4 linked regions of the Saccharomyces cerevisiae S288C genome follow. The protein of the gene in region 2 binds, or shares a complex with, the protein of the main gene of each other region. Each region holds a gene or a part of one and is shown on either strand. Other genes may lie near its edges. A codon is read from its position in the direction of its gene.

Region 1 (4,312 bases), on a different chromosome or scaffold from region 2:
TCAAGAATAGCTCATTATCAGTGTTAATTAAGTATTCATCTGACCGAATTTCTGCGGTATTTATATCTGCTTTGTTTGAGTGGGTTATTTGACCAAGTTCAGTTGACTCGCCATGATCCCCAATTTTGTATGATAGGAAGTTTCCATTATCTTCATTAAATGTAAACGTCTTGTTGAAAAATATCTCTGCTCTCTGTGAATTAAGTATGTTCAACGATAAAGTGGTTTGAAACCGATCTTTCATATCAACCACTTCCGCCAACCAAACACATGAGTCACCAGGCTGGAGAATATGTCCATTAGGTAACGATACTAATCTCAAACTAAGCATTTTGTTTATGGCATTTCCAAATTTCTGGTAATATGTTTCCGTAATCTCATCCCAATTTGACATGGCATTGTCAGTAACCATTAATTTGTCTCTTTCGTCGGTGTTAAAGGGCCTTAGAAAGTATATTCCAGAACCTAAAAAAATCGGTTCATATTTGGTGATTAAATCAATAGAGTTACTACCAATTTTTGATTTTGCGGGCATCCTGCAAAGTATAGGTGAGGCGTTCTTTTGGTCTTCATTTTTGGCTAGTAATTCTAAATTGCACAATTCAGGTATGGTAACTTGGGCTTCATAAACACAAATTTTTGTTTCTCTCACCCATTGAATAGTCGATGGTCCAGAGTTTGAGCCGCCACAGACATATTGTATTTCAACCATTCTTTCAGCCCCCGTCACATCGCAAATATCACCTGACCCTATAATTTCGCTGATGTAATATCCTACATCGTCATAAAGTAGTTCAAATTCTCTCTCTTCTACATTTGCTTTTGGTTTTCCCAGGCGGTAGACCAAAGATTCATCTCGATTTACTATTTCACCAGTTTTTGTATTTACTCTACCATGGAACTGAACAAATTCTATGCCAGGACAGTACTCGTAAATCCAAAATCCGGCTTGGTAGAAGATGCACCGTTCATTTAATTTATCGAAAATTGTCTTAACACCTTGATTCAGGGTTTTAGTTAATAATGCTGTCTTTTCACTATTGCTATGCTCATTTGAGTCTTCCAATACATCATTCAATTGAGTGCTTGCATTTTGAATAAAGCATTCAAGGTCGTCGCCCATATTCACTATATATCCCGAGTTCATGACAGACTGATTTTGTAATATCCTATCACTCCAGTCGTCCTCATCGATGTAAGATATGAGGTACTTATTCGATACTATGGGGTCTTCTATAGGTGCTAATAGTGATGATCCTAACGGAATCAACGCAGAAATTGCGCTCAGAGCATATATAATTTTAGCTTGCATTGAAACAGGGAAGAAAGGGGATGATAACGATATATGTGAAGATCTATTGCTTATTTTAGGGAATCTGCTTCTTTTTTATGAAGCTACATTTTTACTTGAAATTTCCGCTGTATTTTTTTGCATACGTGCGCTGGGTCTCTAACCACTGTATTTGCATTGGTAACTTAAAAACCCAACCAAATATAGGAATAATTAGAAGTATATAAAAGACACTTTGAGTAAAAAAACAAGGTGGTACTATTCAACACTATCTAACAAGAACTGTACAATACTCATTGAAGGAAAGATGCTTGTGCGGCTGTTGCGTGTGATTTTATTGGCCAGCATGGTTTTCTGTGCTGATATTTTACAATTAAGCTATTCAGATGATGCGAAAGACGCTATACCCCTAGGAACATTTGAGATTGATAGTACATCCGATGGGAATGTTACAGTAACAACCGTTAATATACAGGATGTTGAAGTTTCTGGAGAATACTGTTTGAATGCCCAGATTGAAGGTAAGCTGGATATGCCATGTTTTAGCTACATGAAGCTGAGGACACCACTAAAATACGATTTAATTGTGGATGTAGATGAAGATAATGAGGTCAAACAAGTGTCGTTATCATATGACGAGACTAACGATGCTATTACTGCTACAGTCAGATATCCAGAAGCGGGACCTACTGCACCAGTCACCAAATTAAAGAAGAAAACCAAAACTTATGCTGATAAAAAAGCTAGTAAGAATAAGGATGGAAGCACTGCACAATTCGAAGAAGATGAAGAGGTTAAGGAGGTGTCTTGGTTTCAAAAGAACTGGAAAATGTTACTTTTAGGCCTATTGATTTACAATTTTGTTGCGGGCTCAGCAAAGAAGCAACAACAAGGAGGTGCCGGAGCTGATCAAAAGACTGAGTAAATAAAGTATTGTGATTTTTTAAATTTTTAAGTGTCGTTACTTTTATCTCTTTCCCGAAAATATTTGAATACATAAAATTTTTAAATAAATGTTTTTATTTGTTCACATGTCGTGAATGACAGGTACTAGTTATCAAAAATGAAGAATATTTCTTCATTCCATTACATTATAGACATGATGATTGCCGTCAAAAGACCGACCAAAGGGGTTGTTTGGCCAATTGGTGCCATGATAGCGGCATTGCCTTTGGAACTCTTAGAGCTAGAGCTGGAAGCGCCAGAACTAGAAACACTAGAGGCAGAAGCAGCAGCCTTGATATCGCCAGAAGTGAACTTCTTTTCCTCGGCCTTAGAAGATGACTTGGAAACCTTGGCAGTAGTTTGGCTTGATTGAGATTTGGAAGTGGACGATAGTTTAACAGATGTGGATGATGCACCATTTTTGCAGACAAAAGATTCACCCTTGATACCCCCTTTCTTTTGCAAAGCTTTCAAAGCATTACAGGAGAAATTGCTTGACTTTGATTCGACATCTGCGCCACCCTTGACAGACTTCAAAGAGTCTAGGTTCAAGGAGGTGAAGTTACCAACAACTTCCAAAGTACCGCCAATGGTTGTTAGGTTGTCGAGACCACCAATTTTTTGTAAACCAGTGTTGTTAGCAACGACAAGAGCACCACCTATGGTTGACAAATTAGAGAACGACAAGTTCTTCAAGTAGTCATTGGAAACGATACTGAAGGTTTGGCCAATGGTGTTTAGCTTAGTGAAATTCAAACTTGAGATGGAGTTGTTGATGAAACCCAATGAAGAGTTAATCTTTTGCAAGTTAGCGAAGGAAACAGAGTGGACATCGGTCAAACTGATATTGTTTGCCCAAACCAAGTCATCGAAGGTGATTTTAGTCTGGTTACCGTTGAACGAAAATTGTAAAGAATCGCTGACTGTTTCAACTGGAGATTTGATCGAGGTTAATTTCTTATTGTTATTGACGTTGAACACGTTAACTTTTTTCAAGGCTGAGAATCCATCGACAGATTGTAACGAAGTGTCGGAAATATAAATGTTGTTAGCAGATTTGATATTTGAAGTAAAACTGGAGATGGCGGGTAGAGTAATCAGTTTTATACTATCAACGCTCTGTAAAGACCCAAATGAAGCAGAAGTCAAGATTGTCAAACTCTGTAGGTTCAAAGAATCTGTGATGGACTCCAAGGAATCAGCAGCGAATGAGGTTAGATTTGTAGCGTTAAATATAGTTAGAGACCCGTTGATTTCTTTAACATTAGCCAAAGCACCAGTCTTCAAACCACCACCAATAGTTAAGTTCCCGACTAACGTATCACAGCGGCTATATTTATCTAAGTCACTCTGAGCTGTGGCCGTGGCATGTGAGCTTATGGTACAGGAAGAGGGTATGCTGGAAGAAGAGGAAGTAGCAGCCAAAGCTGACGTTATTAAGAGCGCAGTTGAAGCGATAAGTGAATGTAATTGCATGATATTTTTATAGCGAGCTTTTTTTTTTTGCTTCTCTCTTGGATTAGATCTATTGCAGCGTGATGTACTGTAAGATTCTATTGAACTATACAGAGCAAGAGTTGAATAGAGAAGAATATGCACGCTATTTATATGTTTATCTGTAGAGCATATATGGGTTTGCTCGTAAGGAACCTTGAGCGGTTGAATGATATTACTTAGAGTTAATGCTATGAAAACCCAGCCCAATCATTCAACATTACTCTTTGTAGTAATAAACTCTGATCAAAGTCCGAATCAGGGCAGTGTGCCTACGCTATTTTTAGAGACTCGTAACACTATTAAAACTAAAAGCCCTCTCTACTAATTAAGATATCCCAGCTTTGTGGTCTTTTTTGGGTTTCTTTGGTTTTTTTCCCTCAAGGATACCGAAAATGCGGGCCTTAATTTAAAGCCTTTTCCGTAAAGAGAAAACAAAAATGAGTTGGCGGGTCAACGGGGAGTGCTATTTTAAACGACTCAAATACATTTGAAAAAGAAAAAAATAGCCGCCCAGCTCCCACGTGCATATCACGTGCATTATAACCCGGTTTTCAGATAATAGAAATCCGCTCACTCTAT
Region 2 (6,929 bases):
GCCCAGGAAAAAGCTGCTGAGGAAGCCGATGCTGACGCTGAATTGGCTGACGAAGAAGATGCCATTCACGATGAATTGTAATTCTGATCACTTTGGTTTTTCATTAAATAGAGATATATAAGAAATTTTCTAGGAAGTTTTTTTAAAAAAATCATAAAAAGATAAACGTTAAAATTCAAACACAATAGTTGTTCGCTATATTCGTCACACTGCACGAACGCCTTAGGGAAAGAGAAAATTGACCACGTAGTAATAATAAGTGCATGGCATCGTCTTTTACTTAAATGTGGACACTTGCTTTACTGCTTAGGAAACTACTTATCTCATCCTCCTCCATTCCCTCTCCTTTTCCAATTACCGTAATAAAAGATGGCTGTATTTACTCCTCCATCAGGTAATAGCAATTCCACCGACCATACTCACACACAAGATGACCACGACAAAGATGATAATGATATCAAGAAATTCTACATAAGGCCAAGTTTAGGCTTAAAACTGTGGGGTCCGCTCGTACCCGCTCCTGATAACCTACCGGGACTATACACTCTAATCACTATCCAATCTGCAGTGGGTTTCTTTGCCCTTTGGAGACTGAGAAGGCTCTACAAACTACCGCCACCGCGCCGCATTGCCACTGGCACTCACTCGGATTTATCCTTTGGCGAACTACCCAGTGAAATGATTGTCAATGGCAAGACTAAAATCAAAAAGGATATTGCTGACTTTCCAACTTTGAACCGCTTCTCCACCACCCATGGTGACATTGTGCTCGCCCCTCCTCCCATCATACCTCGCCAATCTCGATTCGTCAGCGTCAGAAAGCTCTTATGGGGGTTGTTTGGCTCTTTGCTACTTTCTCAGTCACTGTTGGAGCTTACTCGCCTGAACTTTCTTAAATACGACCCCTGGTGCGACGAAATGAAATCCGTACGTGACAAGAAGTTTTTCAACAATATTGTCAAATATTATCACGAGGGCATAGACCCCACCAAAATAAAAGTCAAGGATGCTATGAACGGTACTCCTCTCTCGACAAATATCCCTGAGGTCAAACAAAGCGTCGCTCTCGCTAGAGCGCAAGTTGAGGCGCAGAATCCCATTATTAAATGGTTCGGACCCTTGGAATACAAGCCCATGTCTTTCAACGAGTACCTCAATCGCATGGAATTTCACTTGGACATGTTCGAGTTTTTTCAAAATAAAAGAAACATTAGAGAAAATTCCATTGAACTCATCAATTCCATATCCCACAATCCGCAGTCTTCTTCTACTGGCCTTGAAGGTCTTTCCGAGTCCAAAAAACTCCATCTACAAAATGTGGAAAAAAGACTGCATTTCTTAGCATCTTCGGGAGATTCCATTTCCGCACCAGTAAAGAAGAGATCCAGCACCACACTCTCCCGAGGTGTCATTTTGCCCCATGACACGAAAGGCCCGCAAGATATTGATCTCGATACAATAAGATCGCTTTATGATCCATGGATGACTTTGGCCTTAGAAACTTCGCTAAGCATCAAATTCATACCAACTACCATGCCCTCCCATACCAAGACACCCACTAGCACGGACCAGCCGTTACCAGGGCCTACCCCCAAGGCTCTCACTAATGAAAAGACACATTAGGTCTTTGCGGATTGCTTAGTTGTACCGTGCGTATATTAAATCCTTCTTCGTACACCGTGATTTTTCAGACGGCTACCAGAGAAAATATGGCTGGGATTTCATATTATATATGCAAATATATAATAACATATATATATATACACTCCATTAATAACTAATACCTACATTCATATCAACACTTTCATCCTCCCCTTCCCCCATAGCAATGAAGATAACGTGTACAGACTTGGTGTACGTCTTCATTTTACTCTTCCTAAACACGAGTTGTGTCCAAGCCGTTTTTTCAGATGATGCATTTATCACTGATTGGCAACTGGCTAACTTAGGTCCTTGGGAGAAAGTCATCCCTGATTCTCGAGACCGCAACAGGGTTCTCATCTTATCGAACCCTACCGAAACTTCCTGCTTAGTTTCTTCGTTTAACGTTTCTTCCGGACAGATTCTTTTCAGAAACGTTTTACCCTTTACCATTGATGAGATTCAACTGGATAGTAATGACCATAACGCAATGGTTTGTGTGAACTCTTCAAGCAACCATTGGCAGAAATATGATTTACACGATTGGTTTTTACTAGAGGAAGGCGTAGATAATGCCCCTTCTACGACCATTTTACCTCAATCCTCATATTTAAACGATCAAGTATCTATTAAGAACAATGAACTACATATTCTCGATGAGCAGTCAAAACTGGCAGAATGGAAATTGGAGTTACCTCAAGGGTTCAATAAAGTGGAATATTTTCATCGTGAAGATCCCCTGGCGTTAGTGTTGAACGTTAATGATACCCAATATATGGGATTCTCTGCCAATGGCACAGAATTGATCCCCGTTTGGCAAAGAGATGAATGGTTGACTAACGTGGTAGACTATGCTGTATTGGACGTCTTCGATTCTAGGGATGTGGAGTTGAACAAAGATATGAAAGCGGAACTTGATTCAAATTCGCTTTGGAATGCTTACTGGCTTAGATTGACAACTAATTGGAATCGCCTTATCAACTTATTGAAAGAAAACCAATTCTCACCAGGACGTGTCTTCACTAAACTCCTAGCTCTAGACGCTAAGGATACCACGGTATCAGATTTGAAGTTCGGATTCGCCAAAATCTTAATTGTTTTGACGCATGATGGCTTTATCGGCGGCCTTGATATGGTCAATAAGGGCCAACTTATCTGGAAACTCGATTTAGAAATTGATCAGGGCGTCAAAATGTTCTGGACGGATAAAAACCATGACGAACTTGTTGTTTTTTCGCATGATGGGCATTATTTGACAATTGAAGTTACTAAAGATCAACCGATTATCAAATCAAGATCCCCCCTATCTGAAAGGAAAACTGTTGATTCCGTTATTAGGCTGAATGAACATGATCACCAGTATCTGATTAAGTTTGAGGATAAGGATCATTTACTGTTCAAATTGAATCCCGGCAAGAATACGGATGTACCAATAGTTGCCAACAACCATTCTAGTTCCCACATATTCGTCACAGAGCATGACACGAATGGCATTTATGGCTACATAATCGAAAACGATACGGTAAAACAAACTTGGAAAAAAGCCGTAAATTCGAAAGAGAAAATGGTGGCATATAGCAAGAGGGAAACAACAAACCTAAACACTCTTGGTATTACACTAGGTGACAAATCGGTTCTTTATAAATATTTGTACCCCAACCTAGCGGCTTATCTGATCGCTAATGAAGAACATCATACAATCACTTTTAACTTAATTGATACCATTACAGGAGAAATCCTCATTACCCAAGAGCACAAGGATTCTCCGGATTTTAGGTTTCCAATGGATATTGTTTTCGGTGAATATTGGGTCGTTTATTCCTATTTCAGTTCTGAACCTGTTCCAGAACAAAAGTTAGTAGTGGTGGAATTATATGAGTCACTAACCCCAGATGAGCGTTTGTCTAACTCAAGCGACAATTTTTCTTATGATCCATTGACTGGACACATTAACAAACCTCAATTTCAAACTAAACAATTCATTTTTCCCGAGATTATCAAAACAATGTCCATTTCCAAGACAACGGATGATATTACCACAAAGGCAATCGTTATGGAATTAGAAAATGGACAAATCACCTACATACCAAAGCTTTTATTGAATGCAAGAGGTAAACCAGCAGAAGAAATGGCCAAGGATAAGAAAAAAGAGTTTATGGCTACCCCATACACGCCAGTTATCCCAATTAATGATAATTTCATTATCACTCATTTCAGAAATCTATTGCCAGGATCCGATTCGCAGTTGATCTCCATCCCAACCAATCTGGAATCCACAAGCATTATATGTGATCTAGGCCTTGATGTATTTTGTACAAGGATCACACCTTCGGGCCAATTTGATTTAATGAGTCCTACTTTCGAAAAGGGTAAATTGCTTATTACTATATTCGTCTTGTTGGTGATCACGTATTTTATCCGTCCTTCTGTTTCAAACAAGAAGTTGAAATCCCAATGGCTAATTAAATAGATATTTACATACACATTATATATATCAGATACACATTTCAAGGCTCCTTATTTTGGCTTTCTTTTTTTTTTTTTTTTTTTTCCCTGGAAGACGTCATACTCGTGGTTATATAATCTCCTACTTCTTTGGAAAATGGACACTTAATCAATGACGGTTGATAGCAGTACGTGCACTAGCAGACTAATATGAAGAAGACGTTCGAGCAGTTTCGAAAAAGCAATTTACTATTTCAGGTTCTCAAAGGACCCCAGCATCTAGAATGTCAGAAGTTATTTGTCCTTGATTCTTCATTCAATCCACCACATCTGGCCCATTTTCAACTACTATCGCAGACTATTAAAAACTTCAAATTGAAGGACACCCGTTCGCATGTTTTATTACTGTTAGCGGTGAATAATGCAGATAAGTTGCCTAAGCCGGCATCTTTTCCAACTCGTCTGGAAATGATGTGCTTATTCGCTGACTACCTTCAGGAGAAGCTCCCCCAATCTGTAGTATCTGTCGGGTTGACTGTTTTCTCGAAATTCATCGACAAGGACAAAATATTACATGAGCAATTTGTTAAAGGATGCAGTGCAGATATAGGCTACTTAGTTGGTTTTGATACAATTGCTAGGATCTTTGATGAAAAATATTATCATCCTTTAAAAATCAGTGATGTAATGGAGAGCTTCATGTCGGGATCTCAATTATATTGCTTGGCGAGAGGCGATTGCCATCTCAGTGCTGAATCGCAACTAAGATACGCCAGTGACATCCTTGAGGGAAAATTCGAACCGGTAATACCAAGAGAATGGGGCGCTAGGATTCATGTTATGCAAAATGATTATCCAGCATTAAGAAATGTTTCATCATCCGAGATTAGGAACAAACTGAAGAATGGGCAAGTGGAGAGTTTGAAAGACGAGTTGCCATTGTGCATATACGATTATTTGATCAATAATAAGACAATATTTGATTGAAAGAGAAAGATAGAAATTCAAATGCCTTTCATGGAGATATATGTATATAGATAAAGATAATATTAGGAACAAAAAAAACTTTCTGTTATACTAGACTAGTAATCTTAAAACAATAACATAGCAACAAGGCATGTACCAAAAAGAAGGGGGTCCAATTGCATGCTTGGATTTGCTGAGTTCGCGTATTTTGAAATCACTCTTTTCTTGGAGTCTTCACCTTCTTGCGTTAAATCTTTGTACCCTTTTTCTATGATTGTACCATCCTGTTTAACATTCAGCGTATTTTCCTTCTTACCAGAAATACAAGTGAATTTCCCACCCCTGATGATTGATCTTCCATTTGATGGGTTTGTCCATTTATTGCAATCCAACACGTTTGATGAACTCTTAATAAAAGCGCTACCTTTCACCAGTTTCAAGCTATCGAACATGATATCTTTGAACGAACCTTCAAAGAAAATAGCACCTCCAATCTGCTTCAAGTTTGGCAGGAAAGTAATATCCTCGAGGGATTCGTTATCGGCGATCATCAAGCCACCTTGAATGTCTGTTAAGTTCTCCAAATTAACTTTTATTAAATTTACATTGTTGATAATTCCTAATGTTCCACCAATCTTCTGCAAATTGTTCAGGTTCAATTCGTAAAAGTAATTTTCGATGAACTCTAAAGAGCTTTTCACTTTTGTTAATTGTGGAAGGTAGACCAATGATGTGTCCCTAATCGTTATGTTTTCCACTTCTCTCAAGTGTGGCATTTCAAGTTCTAGCTCCTTAGCGTTCGCATGTACACTGAATTGTCCCCTAATGGTTTTAACGTTCGAATGAATAGTTTCTAAAAATCTGTTATTATTGATATTGAAAGTATCAATTTCCTGAACCTTGTTGAAATTCTCGATGTTTGCTAATGAAGTATCCGATATGACAATATCCTTTATAATCTCAATATTCTGAGAATCCATGGAGACGTAGTTCAAGATGGGAACAACTTTCCACTCCAGTGACTGACAAAATTTCAAAGTTGGAATTTCAACAGAAACCAAAGAGGTTAGTCCCTGTAATTGGAAGAGCCCTTCGATTTTATTCAAGTTCCCGGCTTGGATTCTGATCAGTTCAGGTGAATCCTGAATAATCAGGTCACCACCAATGGCCCTCAAGCTGTTCAAATCCAAAATGTTAGAATCATAGTTTGTGACTTTTAATGACCCCAAGATGAATTCACATTGGTTTTGTAAATGAAAAAGATCATGAGACGATTCAATGACGTGCAAATCTTTTTTACACAACTCTGATATCGGTGAGTTTGTGTTCAGACTCTTGACATCTATTTCAAAAAACGGTTCATTTGCTCTTCTTTGAAGTTCGAGATTACCGTTATGAAAAGGCTTCACATTATGTGGTCGCCTTGGCGGATCAATAGCGGCACCCAATGCATGTGTCACAAATAATGATGCAAATATAATCGCGAATAAACAACTTTTCCTAGTAATACGGTTCATAAGTCGATCAAGTAATGAAAAAATGGCTTTTGGTTTTCCTTGTTGTATTTCAGATGAGATATCTTACCAACAGAACAAGTTTCTCTATTGTATGTCACAAAAGGATATAGCTTCTCCAAAATCTTTCTTTTTTATATTTTTTTTTTTTTTTTTTTTTTTGAATTAGTGACGCATCTTCTGTACAGTAAAGAGAGAAAAAAAGGGTATAATAAAACAGTTAAGCTATACTATAGTAGCGCATACACACAACGTATATACATCTAGTATTAAATATTAGTAATTATTAAATAACGAAAAAATAAATTATGGTTGAAATAGAATCAAACGTAAAGAACAAAGAAAAAGCTTAATGGAACGAAA
Region 3 (4,814 bases), on a different chromosome or scaffold from region 2:
AGGCCCGTCTTTCATTAGCCAGAGCGGTGTACTCGAGAGCAGATATTTATTTGTTGGATGACATTTTATCTGCTGTTGATGCAGAAGTTAGTAAAAATATTATTGAATATGTTTTGATCGGAAAGACGGCTTTATTAAAAAATAAAACAATTATTTTAACTACCAATACTGTATCAATTTTAAAACATTCGCAGATGATATATGCGCTAGAAAACGGTGAAATTGTTGAACAAGGGAATTATGAGGATGTAATGAACCGTAAGAACAATACTTCAAAACTGAAAAAATTACTAGAGGAATTTGATTCTCCGATTGATAATGGAAATGAAAGCGATGTCCAAACTGAACACCGATCCGAAAGTGAAGTGGATGAACCTCTGCAGCTTAAAGTAACTGAATCAGAAACTGAGGATGAGGTTGTTACTGAGAGTGAATTAGAACTAATCAAAGCCAATTCTAGAAGAGCTTCTCTAGCTACGCTAAGACCTAGACCCTTTGTGGGAGCACAATTGGATTCCGTGAAGAAAACGGCGCAAAAGGCCGAGAAGACAGAGGTGGGAAGAGTCAAAACAAAGATTTATCTTGCGTATATTAAGGCTTGTGGAGTTTTAGGTGTTGTTTTATTTTTCTTGTTTATGATATTAACAAGGGTTTTCGACTTAGCAGAGAATTTTTGGTTAAAGTACTGGTCAGAATCTAATGAAAAAAATGGTTCAAATGAAAGGGTTTGGATGTTTGTTGGTGTGTATTCCTTAATCGGAGTAGCATCGGCCGCATTCAATAATTTACGGAGTATTATGATGCTACTGTATTGTTCTATTAGGGGTTCTAAGAAACTGCATGAAAGCATGGCCAAATCTGTAATTAGAAGTCCTATGACTTTCTTTGAGACTACACCAGTTGGAAGGATCATAAACAGGTTCTCATCTGATATGGATGCAGTGGACAGTAATCTACAGTACATTTTCTCCTTTTTTTTCAAATCAATACTAACCTATTTGGTTACTGTTATATTAGTCGGGTACAATATGCCATGGTTTTTAGTGTTCAATATGTTTTTGGTGGTTATCTATATTTACTATCAAACATTTTACATTGTGCTATCTAGGGAGCTAAAAAGATTGATCAGTATATCTTACTCTCCGATTATGTCCTTAATGAGTGAGAGCTTGAACGGTTATTCTATTATTGATGCATACGATCATTTTGAGAGATTCATCTATCTAAATTATGAAAAAATCCAATACAACGTTGATTTTGTCTTCAACTTTAGATCAACGAATAGATGGTTATCCGTGAGATTGCAAACTATTGGTGCTACAATTGTTTTGGCTACTGCAATCTTAGCACTAGCAACAATGAATACTAAAAGGCAACTAAGTTCGGGTATGGTTGGTCTACTAATGAGCTATTCATTAGAGGTTACAGGTTCATTGACTTGGATTGTAAGGACAACTGTGACGATTGAAACCAACATTGTATCAGTGGAGAGAATTGTTGAGTACTGCGAATTACCACCTGAAGCACAGTCCATTAACCCTGAAAAGAGGCCAGATGAAAATTGGCCATCAAAGGGTGGTATTGAATTCAAAAACTATTCCACAAAATACAGAGAAAATTTGGATCCAGTGCTGAATAATATTAACGTGAAGATTGAGCCATGTGAAAAGGTTGGGATTGTTGGCAGAACAGGTGCAGGGAAGTCTACACTGAGCCTGGCATTATTTAGAATACTAGAACCTACCGAAGGTAAAATTATTATTGACGGCATTGATATATCCGACATAGGTCTGTTCGATTTAAGAAGCCATTTGGCAATTATTCCTCAGGATGCACAAGCTTTTGAAGGTACAGTAAAGACCAATTTGGACCCTTTCAATCGTTATTCAGAAGATGAACTTAAAAGGGCTGTTGAGCAGGCACATTTAAAGCCTCATCTGGAAAAAATGCTGCACAGTAAACCAAGAGGTGATGATTCTAATGAAGAGGATGGCAATGTTAATGATATTCTGGATGTCAAGATTAATGAGAACGGTAGTAACTTGTCAGTGGGGCAAAGACAACTACTATGTTTGGCAAGAGCGCTGCTAAACCGTTCCAAAATATTGGTCCTTGATGAAGCAACGGCTTCTGTGGATATGGAAACCGATAAAATTATCCAAGACACTATAAGAAGAGAATTTAAGGACCGTACCATCTTAACAATTGCACATCGTATCGACACTGTATTGGACAGTGATAAGATAATTGTTCTTGACCAGGGTAGTGTGAGGGAATTCGATTCACCCTCGAAATTGTTATCCGATAAAACGTCTATTTTTTACAGTCTTTGTGAGAAAGGTGGGTATTTGAAATAATGACATTGATTATTATATATGAAGATATAGAACATTTAATGCGCTGCAATATGTACGGTCACGCCAATTCTTTTTCTTTCTATATGCTTTCTAGTAACCCGGGTAATCACAAATGAAGCTAGTAGAGATATAACTAAATACAACTTAATTTTAACCTTATGTTGGATTGCTCAAGCAGTGTTCGAGAAAGACAGCGGCAGACAGATAGAAATGAGCTCAAATGAAGAGGTATTTACTCAGATAAACGCAACTGCGAATGTGGTTGATAATAAGAAGCGTTTACTTTTCGTGCAAGATAGCTCAGCACTTGTTCTAGGGCTTGTTGCAGGATTTTTGCAAATCGAGTCAGTCCATGGGTTTATTTGGTTCCTGATTCTGTACAACTTGATTAATGTCATTTACATTGTTTGGATCTGTCAACTTCAACCAGGAAAGTTCTACCAAAGCCCACTTCATGACATTTTTTTCGAATCGTTTTTTAGAGAGATAACTGGTTTTGTCATGGCATGGACATTTGGATACGCCCTAATCGGATGAACATATAAGAACTACTTCTATAAACGGTTAGAAACAGGCTTGATTTATTATGTACAGTAAATATAATGTTATTTGTGTTTTTTTTTTTTAAATTTTTTTAGTTCCTTCTATGTAAAAAGACATGACAACAGTATTCTCAGTCAAATGATTTCAAATACACAATGTTAAATTCTCTATCTGTTGCAGAAATAAGAAGAGCGTAAGAGCGCAAAGATTTTTGCAGAAAAATAGAGATGAGGTACAAAAAGTAGGTAATGGAAAAAAGCAAATAATGAATATAGGGGAACATAAATGTTATGGACAAGAGTAGATATCAAAATAAAACAAAATAAAATAGAGTAAGTGAAAGACAAATGGAGGAAAAAAAAAAAAAAAAAAAAAAAAAAAAAATAGTAAAAAGTGAAAGGAGAACGATGATAACACTAATCACACCTCCGCATTTTCAACCAATGCTGCAAGTTTCTCAACACTGGCTAAATGTCTATTTCCTAGGGAGTTAGATTTGTTTAGTTTATCCAAATATGCTCTAATGGCAATGACGATCAATTTCTTACCCTCACCCTCAGAGACATTAACTAATTTTTGAATCACATAGTTGGCAAATTGATCCTTGATCATTAAAATCATTGGAGAATCGTCTTCCAGATTCAAAGCATGATTTTTGTCTCTTGGTAAAATCTTAGAAATTATTAAATCCTTCTGATTTTTAGAGCCATAAAGAATAGATTTTTCGACCACGTTGGAGGCAAATTTATGTTTAGAGTATTCGACAACATTATTGGCCACAGTTTCTATGATTTCCTGTTTGATATCGACCATTTCCTTATTGGTGAACTGATCTTGTTGCAAAACATATTGAATGACATAGTTACCATATTGGTCTTGAATTAGATATGGTATGAAATCTTTCAATTCGTTTAAAATGCTTTCCTGATCTTCGCTCGAACCAAATTCTAACAATCTTTGAATGACCCTACAGCCGTAGGAGTGGGTAGATAGATGGTAAATGTGGCCAGTTAAAGAACTTAAGATAAAAGGTAATTTTTCGATAGGAATTGTTTCGATGGCCTTTTGAATTACGTGATTACCGTTCTGATCTTTGATCATTTGCAAAACGGAGTCAGATAATTCCAGGACTAACTCAATTCTTTGATTGGAATCAATATATTCTAACGCCTTTTGAATTACACGACATGCGTACATTTGTAGAGATAACTGTTTCATGTTACCTTTAAATTGATCAACCAAAGTATTTTTTTGAATTTTGCTACCAAATTCAAAAAACTTCTGAATGACGTAATTACCAAATACATCGTTCGAAAGCTCAATGGCGTCATCGCGAATTTCATTGAATATGACCTCCTTTTCTGAGGCTGGTGAGGTGGCCAACTCGCGCTGAATGAACCGTGAACCATGTTGATCTTTGCAAAACTCTAAGGAATGGCCAAAGATGTCTTTTAGTGACATGTTCGAGTTTGAATTTTTGTCAGAACTACTGTTTCTTAGTTGCTCTAACAACGGCGATCGATGATACGTTTGCTGCTGTTGCTGTAGACTTTGAGAATGAGGATGAGAATGAGAGTGAGATTTATGGTTGTTGGCCGTTGACTCATTAGATTTGGAAGAAGCATTCTTTTTAGAGGTATTCTTTGTGGGTATAGAATTTTCTAGATAAGGATTTGCCTGTTTGTTGGCGTTGTTGGAGTTATTTGCAGGATGATTCTTGTTATTTCTTTTCTTGAAGGTTTTTTCGTCCTTGGGCATTTTGACAGGTATAGGATTTGGAGTAGGGTAGTAAATATAAGGATTCTCCTGTTGCTGTTGCTGTTGTTGGTCTTCTTGTTGTTGTTGTTGTTGCTGTTGCTGTTGTTGCTGGGGAGCAGAGAGTGGTGGAGGTGGCATAAACATCATTGGGTTGGG
Region 4 (5,030 bases), on a different chromosome or scaffold from region 2:
ATGACCATATTTTAATCTGCGTAGTGGCGACTTTAGATTTCTGTTTCGGATAAGAAAAATTTTAGTATGGTTAACACTCCTAATCCTTTCCCTATATTTTACACATTGCTTCTATTTCAAATCCAAATTGTAGGTGGTAAGGTCATTTAGATGGATGTGGTTTATAATTTGCTATTGATCAGTTCAGCATCTAACTGGGATTTATAATATCTTTCTAACATACAGCCATGTTGATCTATCTGTGTTTATTTGCTTGTCTTTTTCGAATTTTCAGTATAATATGAATGTACCAAAAATTGTAGAAAGTATATTAAGTAGAAGTTTTAAAGTATCTATCAAGGCGAAGAATAATTCTCGGTTCTCGACAGCCCAAAAGCCGAATTGCGTTAGTTAGCCCACGCGCGAGCGTAAACGCAAGGACCATTGAGCTTGGAACAGAAGGAGTCGCTTCGGCGTCCCCGCCAAGGCGTACTGTTTGCCTCGGCCTGCCGCGTGGTGGTGGTAGTTTGAGCCGGAGCCTAAAACGCCCATAAGTTTTTTGAAAATCAAGCTAAAAAATGAAAAAAAAAAAAAGTTAAATTGGTACTGTGCGCCCATACATCACATACTTAAAAGTGTGTAATTCCTCTATACATCCACACCTCACTATTTGAAAAACTCAAATATTGAGGACGCGCGATTACCAGCGGCATGTTTACTCGCTGGAAGATGTGAAATAATTCTTGAATATGGGTTTGCAGTTAGTCAATTTCAATCTAAATAATCTTAATCGACTATTCAATTCTTAAATTGTAAGGTTTTTTAATGGCCTTTCAGTTCTAGTATTTTTTATAAAACAAGACCAACATACATATCCAAGATGACCAGATCTTCCGTTTTAGCTGATGCTTTGAATGCCATTAACAACGCTGAAAAGACCGGTAAGCGTCAAGTTTTAATCAGACCATCCTCCAAGGTCATTATCAAGTTTTTGCAAGTTATGCAAAAGCACGGTTACATTGGTGAATTTGAATACATCGATGACCACAGATCTGGTAAGATTGTTGTTCAATTGAACGGTAGATTGAACAAGTGTGGTGTTATTTCCCCAAGATTCAACGTTAAGATTGGTGACATTGAAAAATGGACTGCCAACTTGTTGCCAGCCAGACAATTCGGTTACGTCATCTTGACCACCTCTGCTGGTATCATGGACCATGAAGAAGCCAGAAGAAAGCACGTTTCTGGTAAGATTTTGGGTTTCGTTTACTAAGCTACTTGTTACAACAACCTTTTCGGTAGCTTTATATACTATAATAAACACAAGATAGCCTCATAACTTTACTCATTTCTTATTATACATTTTTTTAGTTTTCCTGTTAAATACTAATATATTTGTACTTTAAAACTGTTCAAAAGATTAGACAGAAATGAATTTATCTGCCGCATTTCTGCATGCACGAAGTCGAATATGCAAATGTTTATATTGGCTTTATTAATTAAACAAACTATATTTATGTGAGAAGGTAAAGCCGTATTTCCATGCGTTAATAGAGTAAAAAAAAAAGAAATCATAATCTTCTACCTCTTCTACCACCCTTCTTTCTGGTGGAGTCTGATGGGACTGGAGTAACGTCTTCGATACGGCCAATCCTCAAACCAGATCTGGCCAAAGCTCTCAAAGCGGCTTGACCACCTGGTCCTGGGGTCTTGGTTCTGGTACCACCAGTAGCTCTGATCTTAACGTGAACGGCAGTGATACCGACTTCCTTACACTTAGCGGCAACATCTTGGGCAGCCAACATAGCAGCGTATGGAGATGATTCGTCTCTGTCGGCCTTGACTTTCATACCACCAGTAACTCTGGCGATAGTTTCCTTACCAGATAAATCGGTAACATGTACAAAGGTATCGTTAAAGGAGGCGTAGATTCTGGCAACACCAAAGACTTGAGAGTTATCGCGAGCTTGAACAAGGTCTATACATGATAAGAGGTATAGTTGTTAGTAAACAGAACTTCTGCTTTTTCGATTATTAAAAAATAAACGAATGAGTCACTATCTAACAACCATTTAGTTACAATCCTTTTAAGATAAACATTCTTTATTACAGATGATACAGTATTAAGGGTGAGCGCAGAGCCTCTATAACACAATAGCATTGAAGTGCTTTATTGCAGAAATTTTAACTCCGTATTACAGAATTTCATGGCCTTACAAACATAAGTAGCATCTCATAACACTATTGCAATATAGTTAGGAGTGCTTCAAAGTTGCAAAAAAAATAAAATTCCAATAATAACATCATGCGCTACCCGATCACAGTCTCCATCTGAAAAAAAGAATAACTAAATGGTTTTAAACAGGATATCACCCCTTTCACGTACCGTTAGCCATTCTTAATTGTTATTGGGAGTTGTTGATTTCAGTCTTTTTCTCTCTTGCGATGAAGATGCATACAGAAGGAATAGTACCGCTTTTATACTCGTAGAAGGCAAGTTCTTGCGACTATATCTTTTATTCCGTTTTGTTTTTCAAGTCTATCACCCATTAAAAAGTTTGAAATTTTTTCCATATTCTTTTCAGTGTGGTGCAAGGATGTACAATGATGTGTTTACACCACATATAAAATCAAGCTCGAAAAACAGTCTCGAAAATGATCGAGGATTTCAGGATGAAATTATGTATGAAATTAAGATGAACGAATTTGTCAAGCCATTAAATATCATCAAAGTAAATTTGATCAACAAGTGAAAGAGCAGTGTGACGATGTTTTCACAGATTGTTCTTTTACTCAGTGCATTTATTTATGTCGCCAGTGCTACGGCCAGGAGAGGGACCATTAAGGGTCGCTTAGACTTAGCAGCAAGTAACATCACCGGCTTTGTTTCAACTAGAACAAGTTTCAAACTTTATCAGATCGGCAATTTTTCGACAGAATATCCTTACACATCTACGACCATGTTTCAAGATGACGAAGGCAACTTTGAATTCGCTAATCTCCCTTTAAACGACGGTGTTAATGAAACGACATACTATGTGATGTACCCAGCATCTATGGACTTCAATCTGAAGCCAAACAGAATTCTTATTGAATTCAAGAATTTAGAGAATGGCACCTTACAATTGAACGCGTTCAAGAACTTTTTTGGAAGAGAATATTTCCCATCCAAAGATATAACGTACCCAGAAAAATTACAATCTATGAAGGTGCACCCTTATATTACAGTGGAGCTTTTACATAAGGCCCCGATTAGATCTTATTTACAGGCTAGAAACGTCAGTATCTTTTCTACAGGTATTGTGGGTAATATTTTGAACTCACGTTGGAAACTGGCGGGCGTTATTACCTTAATTGCCCTTGTCGTTTTCCCAATCATAGTAGAAAAGTTGGACCCCGAAACAGCTCGAGCCATCAGAGAGGAGGCAAAAAGAAAACAAAGAGAAAAGTATGCTGCCGTTGCCTCAAAGTAGAGTGACTATTATGTGTTGATAAAGATTCTATTATTATATGTAAATTTTATGTATGGTACAGATAAGTAAATTCAAAACACCCGTATTTCCTAAAGGGAATAAATATTATTTGCATTTATATTCTATCATGTTAAACTACTCAGGACGTATTTTCGCTTTTATTTTCGATTGTGATGTGCATCTTTCATAAAGGAATAACCCTAATGTGTTCAGAACCAAACCGAACACTTGCAGCCAAGTAATTCTTCTTCCAATAAAGACCCAACTAACCGCAATAATGGCAAAGCGCTTCATCAGATTCGCTATTGAATATGTTAAAGTTGAGACCTCACCCAGTAAATGAAATGTAATCATTGCCTGAATGAAGTGGAATGTCCCGTTCAGTAAAAATAAAGAGACTGGAAAAGCTTTTATTACTGTAGAAGAGCTGTTAATTTGAAAAAAATACCTAAATAGTACAGGAAATTCTAGAGTGATAAACCAGCCAAACGATAAACAAAATCCAACAAGGGAAATATAAATCATTAAAGTCAATTTGTCATATGATTTAGGTTTCTTTTTCGCAACAAGTTTCTCATCCAACTTTTCATATAAGGGTAAAGGTGATTCTTGCCGTGAGAATCCAGAATTACTTTGAGATTCATCTGTTTGAGATCTGTACGTGAACACGGTCTTGCCATATATATTTTGCAAGACAAAAATGAACATTGATATCATAGCGCATATTACGCCGTATTTAGAGAATTCTCTCAGCTCATTGGAAGAGGCCGGTGAACGATTATCTTCTTGAACTATAATCCAAACTCCAAGAACTAAAGTGCATAAACTAAAGATAAGAGTTAAAGTAATTTTCAAAGTGGATATTTTCAAAATCTTTTGGAGCAAAAGGATAAACATGGGGGATAGCGTTTTTATACTTGCAACCGTGGAAACAGGCACCAAAGAGGTAGCTGTATGCCCAAAATATTTCCCTACAAATTGGAAAAGACCTAAAGGTAGAACTGTTTGCAGGATTGGTTTAGAGGGCGGTATAATGAGGGAGGATAGTTTTGATTCTTTCCTAGCTGCACGGCTAGTTTCTCTGTCGTCGATATAATATTCCGGAAAAGTACCATTAGGAAATATGCGATAGAATCCTGGGAAACTATATGCAATATAACACGTAAACCATGCTAGCACAGCAGTATAAATGAACTGAAACTCACCCAAAAAAAGTGGTAATGGGCAAACCGTTAGTACCTGCTTCGTTACCTGAGATGCCAACGATGAAATAAAATACCAACTTATGCATAAAAAAATTATGTGTGCATTGTGCCTAATGGATGCCGACAGCTGTTGAAACATCGTTTTCCCCTTTTTCTTCGAGTTCCTTCATTATTATAGAAGGCATATGTCACACCGTGCCAATTTATTTGTTTGCATTTTTTTTTTTTCACCTTTCCGACAGGCGCCATTGTTATCACATTAGCAGAGTGAATTGGTTGCGATTTGAAAGAGAAAATGTATCAAAAACAAACAATTGTACCCCACCTCCCCCTAACAATCATCCATTCTGCATCCAGTAGCTAATGATAGTAA

The links.
Region 1: the proteins of EMC1 (region 2) and EMC10 are in contact, whole or in part, in a cryo-EM structure (PDB 6WB9), measured with the Saccharomyces cerevisiae proteins. Residues at the interface, in NP_009884.1 of Saccharomyces cerevisiae: His425 (codon at 3,101), Phe427 (codon at 3,107), Ile440 (codon at 3,146), Glu442 (codon at 3,152), Lys447 (codon at 3,167), Thr449 (codon at 3,173), Trp450 (codon at 3,176), Lys451 (codon at 3,179), Lys452 (codon at 3,182), Ala453 (codon at 3,185), Asn455 (codon at 3,191), Glu458 (codon at 3,200), Asn499 (codon at 3,323), Glu501 (codon at 3,329), His502 (codon at 3,332), Ile513 (codon at 3,365), Thr514 (codon at 3,368), Gly515 (codon at 3,371), Glu516 (codon at 3,374), Ile517 (codon at 3,377), Leu518 (codon at 3,380), Thr520 (codon at 3,386), Gln521 (codon at 3,389), Glu522 (codon at 3,392), His523 (codon at 3,395), Lys524 (codon at 3,398), Asp525 (codon at 3,401), Pro551 (codon at 3,479), Val552 (codon at 3,482), Val558 (codon at 3,500); in NP_010341.3 of Saccharomyces cerevisiae: Asp28 (codon at 1,680), Glu63 (codon at 1,785), Cys65 (codon at 1,791), Pro77 (codon at 1,827), Cys78 (codon at 1,830), Phe79 (codon at 1,833), Ser80 (codon at 1,836), Tyr81 (codon at 1,839), Met82 (codon at 1,842), Lys83 (codon at 1,845), Tyr90 (codon at 1,866), Asp95 (codon at 1,881), Asp97 (codon at 1,887), Glu98 (codon at 1,890), Asp99 (codon at 1,893), Glu101 (codon at 1,899), Lys103 (codon at 1,905), Gln104 (codon at 1,908), Val105 (codon at 1,911), Ser106 (codon at 1,914), Leu107 (codon at 1,917), Ser108 (codon at 1,920), Tyr109 (codon at 1,923), Glu111 (codon at 1,929), Arg121 (codon at 1,959), Pro123 (codon at 1,965), Glu124 (codon at 1,968), Ala125 (codon at 1,971), Gly126 (codon at 1,974), Pro127 (codon at 1,977).
Region 3: EMC1 (region 2) and EMC6 share a complex: the UniProt entries of both Saccharomyces cerevisiae proteins name them as parts of the ER membrane protein complex.
Region 4: the proteins of EMC1 (region 2) and SOP4 are in contact, whole or in part, in a cryo-EM structure (PDB 6WB9), measured with the Saccharomyces cerevisiae proteins. Residues at the interface, in NP_009884.1 of Saccharomyces cerevisiae: Val25 (codon at 1,901), Phe26 (codon at 1,904), Ser27 (codon at 1,907), Asp28 (codon at 1,910), Ala30 (codon at 1,916), Phe81 (codon at 2,069), Arg82 (codon at 2,072), Asn83 (codon at 2,075), Asp119 (codon at 2,183), Trp120 (codon at 2,186), Phe121 (codon at 2,189), Leu122 (codon at 2,192), Leu123 (codon at 2,195), Glu125 (codon at 2,201), Gly126 (codon at 2,204), Val127 (codon at 2,207), Glu500 (codon at 3,326), Asp528 (codon at 3,410), Phe529 (codon at 3,413), Arg530 (codon at 3,416), Phe531 (codon at 3,419), Phe547 (codon at 3,467), Ser549 (codon at 3,473), Pro551 (codon at 3,479), Val552 (codon at 3,482), Pro553 (codon at 3,485), Glu554 (codon at 3,488), Ile599 (codon at 3,623), Phe600 (codon at 3,626), Pro601 (codon at 3,629); in NP_012343.1 of Saccharomyces cerevisiae: Phe39 (codon at 2,862), Val40 (codon at 2,865), Ser41 (codon at 2,868), Thr42 (codon at 2,871), Arg43 (codon at 2,874), Lys47 (codon at 2,886), Tyr49 (codon at 2,892), Ile51 (codon at 2,898), Tyr58 (codon at 2,919), Pro59 (codon at 2,922), Thr61 (codon at 2,928), Thr64 (codon at 2,937), Met65 (codon at 2,940), Phe66 (codon at 2,943), Gln67 (codon at 2,946), Asp68 (codon at 2,949), Asp69 (codon at 2,952), Glu74 (codon at 2,967), Asn77 (codon at 2,976), Val91 (codon at 3,018), Tyr93 (codon at 3,024), Ala95 (codon at 3,030), Met97 (codon at 3,036), Asn100 (codon at 3,045), Arg105 (codon at 3,060), Phe127 (codon at 3,126), Gly128 (codon at 3,129), Arg129 (codon at 3,132), Glu130 (codon at 3,135), Tyr131 (codon at 3,138).

Annotation. Positions count from the first base shown.
Region 1 is NC_001136.10:562,927-567,238, reverse strand, and holds EMC10 (Emc10p), read left to right. Parts: upstream 1-1,598; coding exon 1,599-2,216; downstream 2,217-4,312. Other genes in the region: YOS9 (Yos9p), read right to left, coding at 1-1,312; PST1 (Pst1p), read right to left, coding at 2,378-3,712. UniProt on the Saccharomyces cerevisiae protein: Part of the endoplasmic reticulum membrane protein complex (EMC) that enables the energy-independent insertion into endoplasmic reticulum membranes of newly synthesized membrane proteins.
Region 2 is NC_001135.5:41,805-48,733, reverse strand, and holds EMC1 (Emc1p), read left to right. Parts: upstream 1-1,828; coding exon 1,829-4,111; downstream 4,112-6,929. Other genes in the region: protein disulfide isomerase PDI1, read left to right, coding at 1-81; MGR1 (Mgr1p), read left to right, coding at 370-1,623; POF1 (nicotinamide-nucleotide adenylyltransferase), read left to right, coding at 4,297-5,073; SPS22 (Sps22p), read right to left, coding at 5,178-6,569. UniProt on the Saccharomyces cerevisiae protein: Part of the endoplasmic reticulum membrane protein complex (EMC) that enables the energy-independent insertion into endoplasmic reticulum membranes of newly synthesized membrane proteins.
Region 3 is NC_001144.5:118,755-123,568, forward strand, and holds EMC6 (Emc6p), read left to right. Parts: upstream 1-2,567; coding exon 2,568-2,894; downstream 2,895-4,814. Other genes in the region: ATP-binding cassette bilirubin transporter BPT1, read left to right, coding at 1-2,357; mRNA-binding protein PUF3, read right to left, coding at 3,321-4,814. UniProt on the Saccharomyces cerevisiae protein: Part of the endoplasmic reticulum membrane protein complex (EMC) that enables the energy-independent insertion into endoplasmic reticulum membranes of newly synthesized membrane proteins.
Region 4 is NC_001142.9:71,132-76,161, reverse strand, and holds SOP4 (Sop4p), read left to right. Parts: upstream 1-2,747; coding exon 2,748-3,452; downstream 3,453-5,030. Other genes in the region: 60S ribosomal protein eL39 RPL39, read right to left, coding at 224-229; 40S ribosomal protein uS8 RPS22A, read left to right, coding at 860-1,252; 40S ribosomal protein uS11 RPS14B, read right to left, coding at 1,551-1,957, 2,366-2,375; YJL193W (uncharacterized protein), read right to left, coding at 3,588-4,796. UniProt on the Saccharomyces cerevisiae protein: Involved in the export of PMA1, possibly through the monitoring or assisting of PMA1 folding and acquisition of competence to enter vesicles.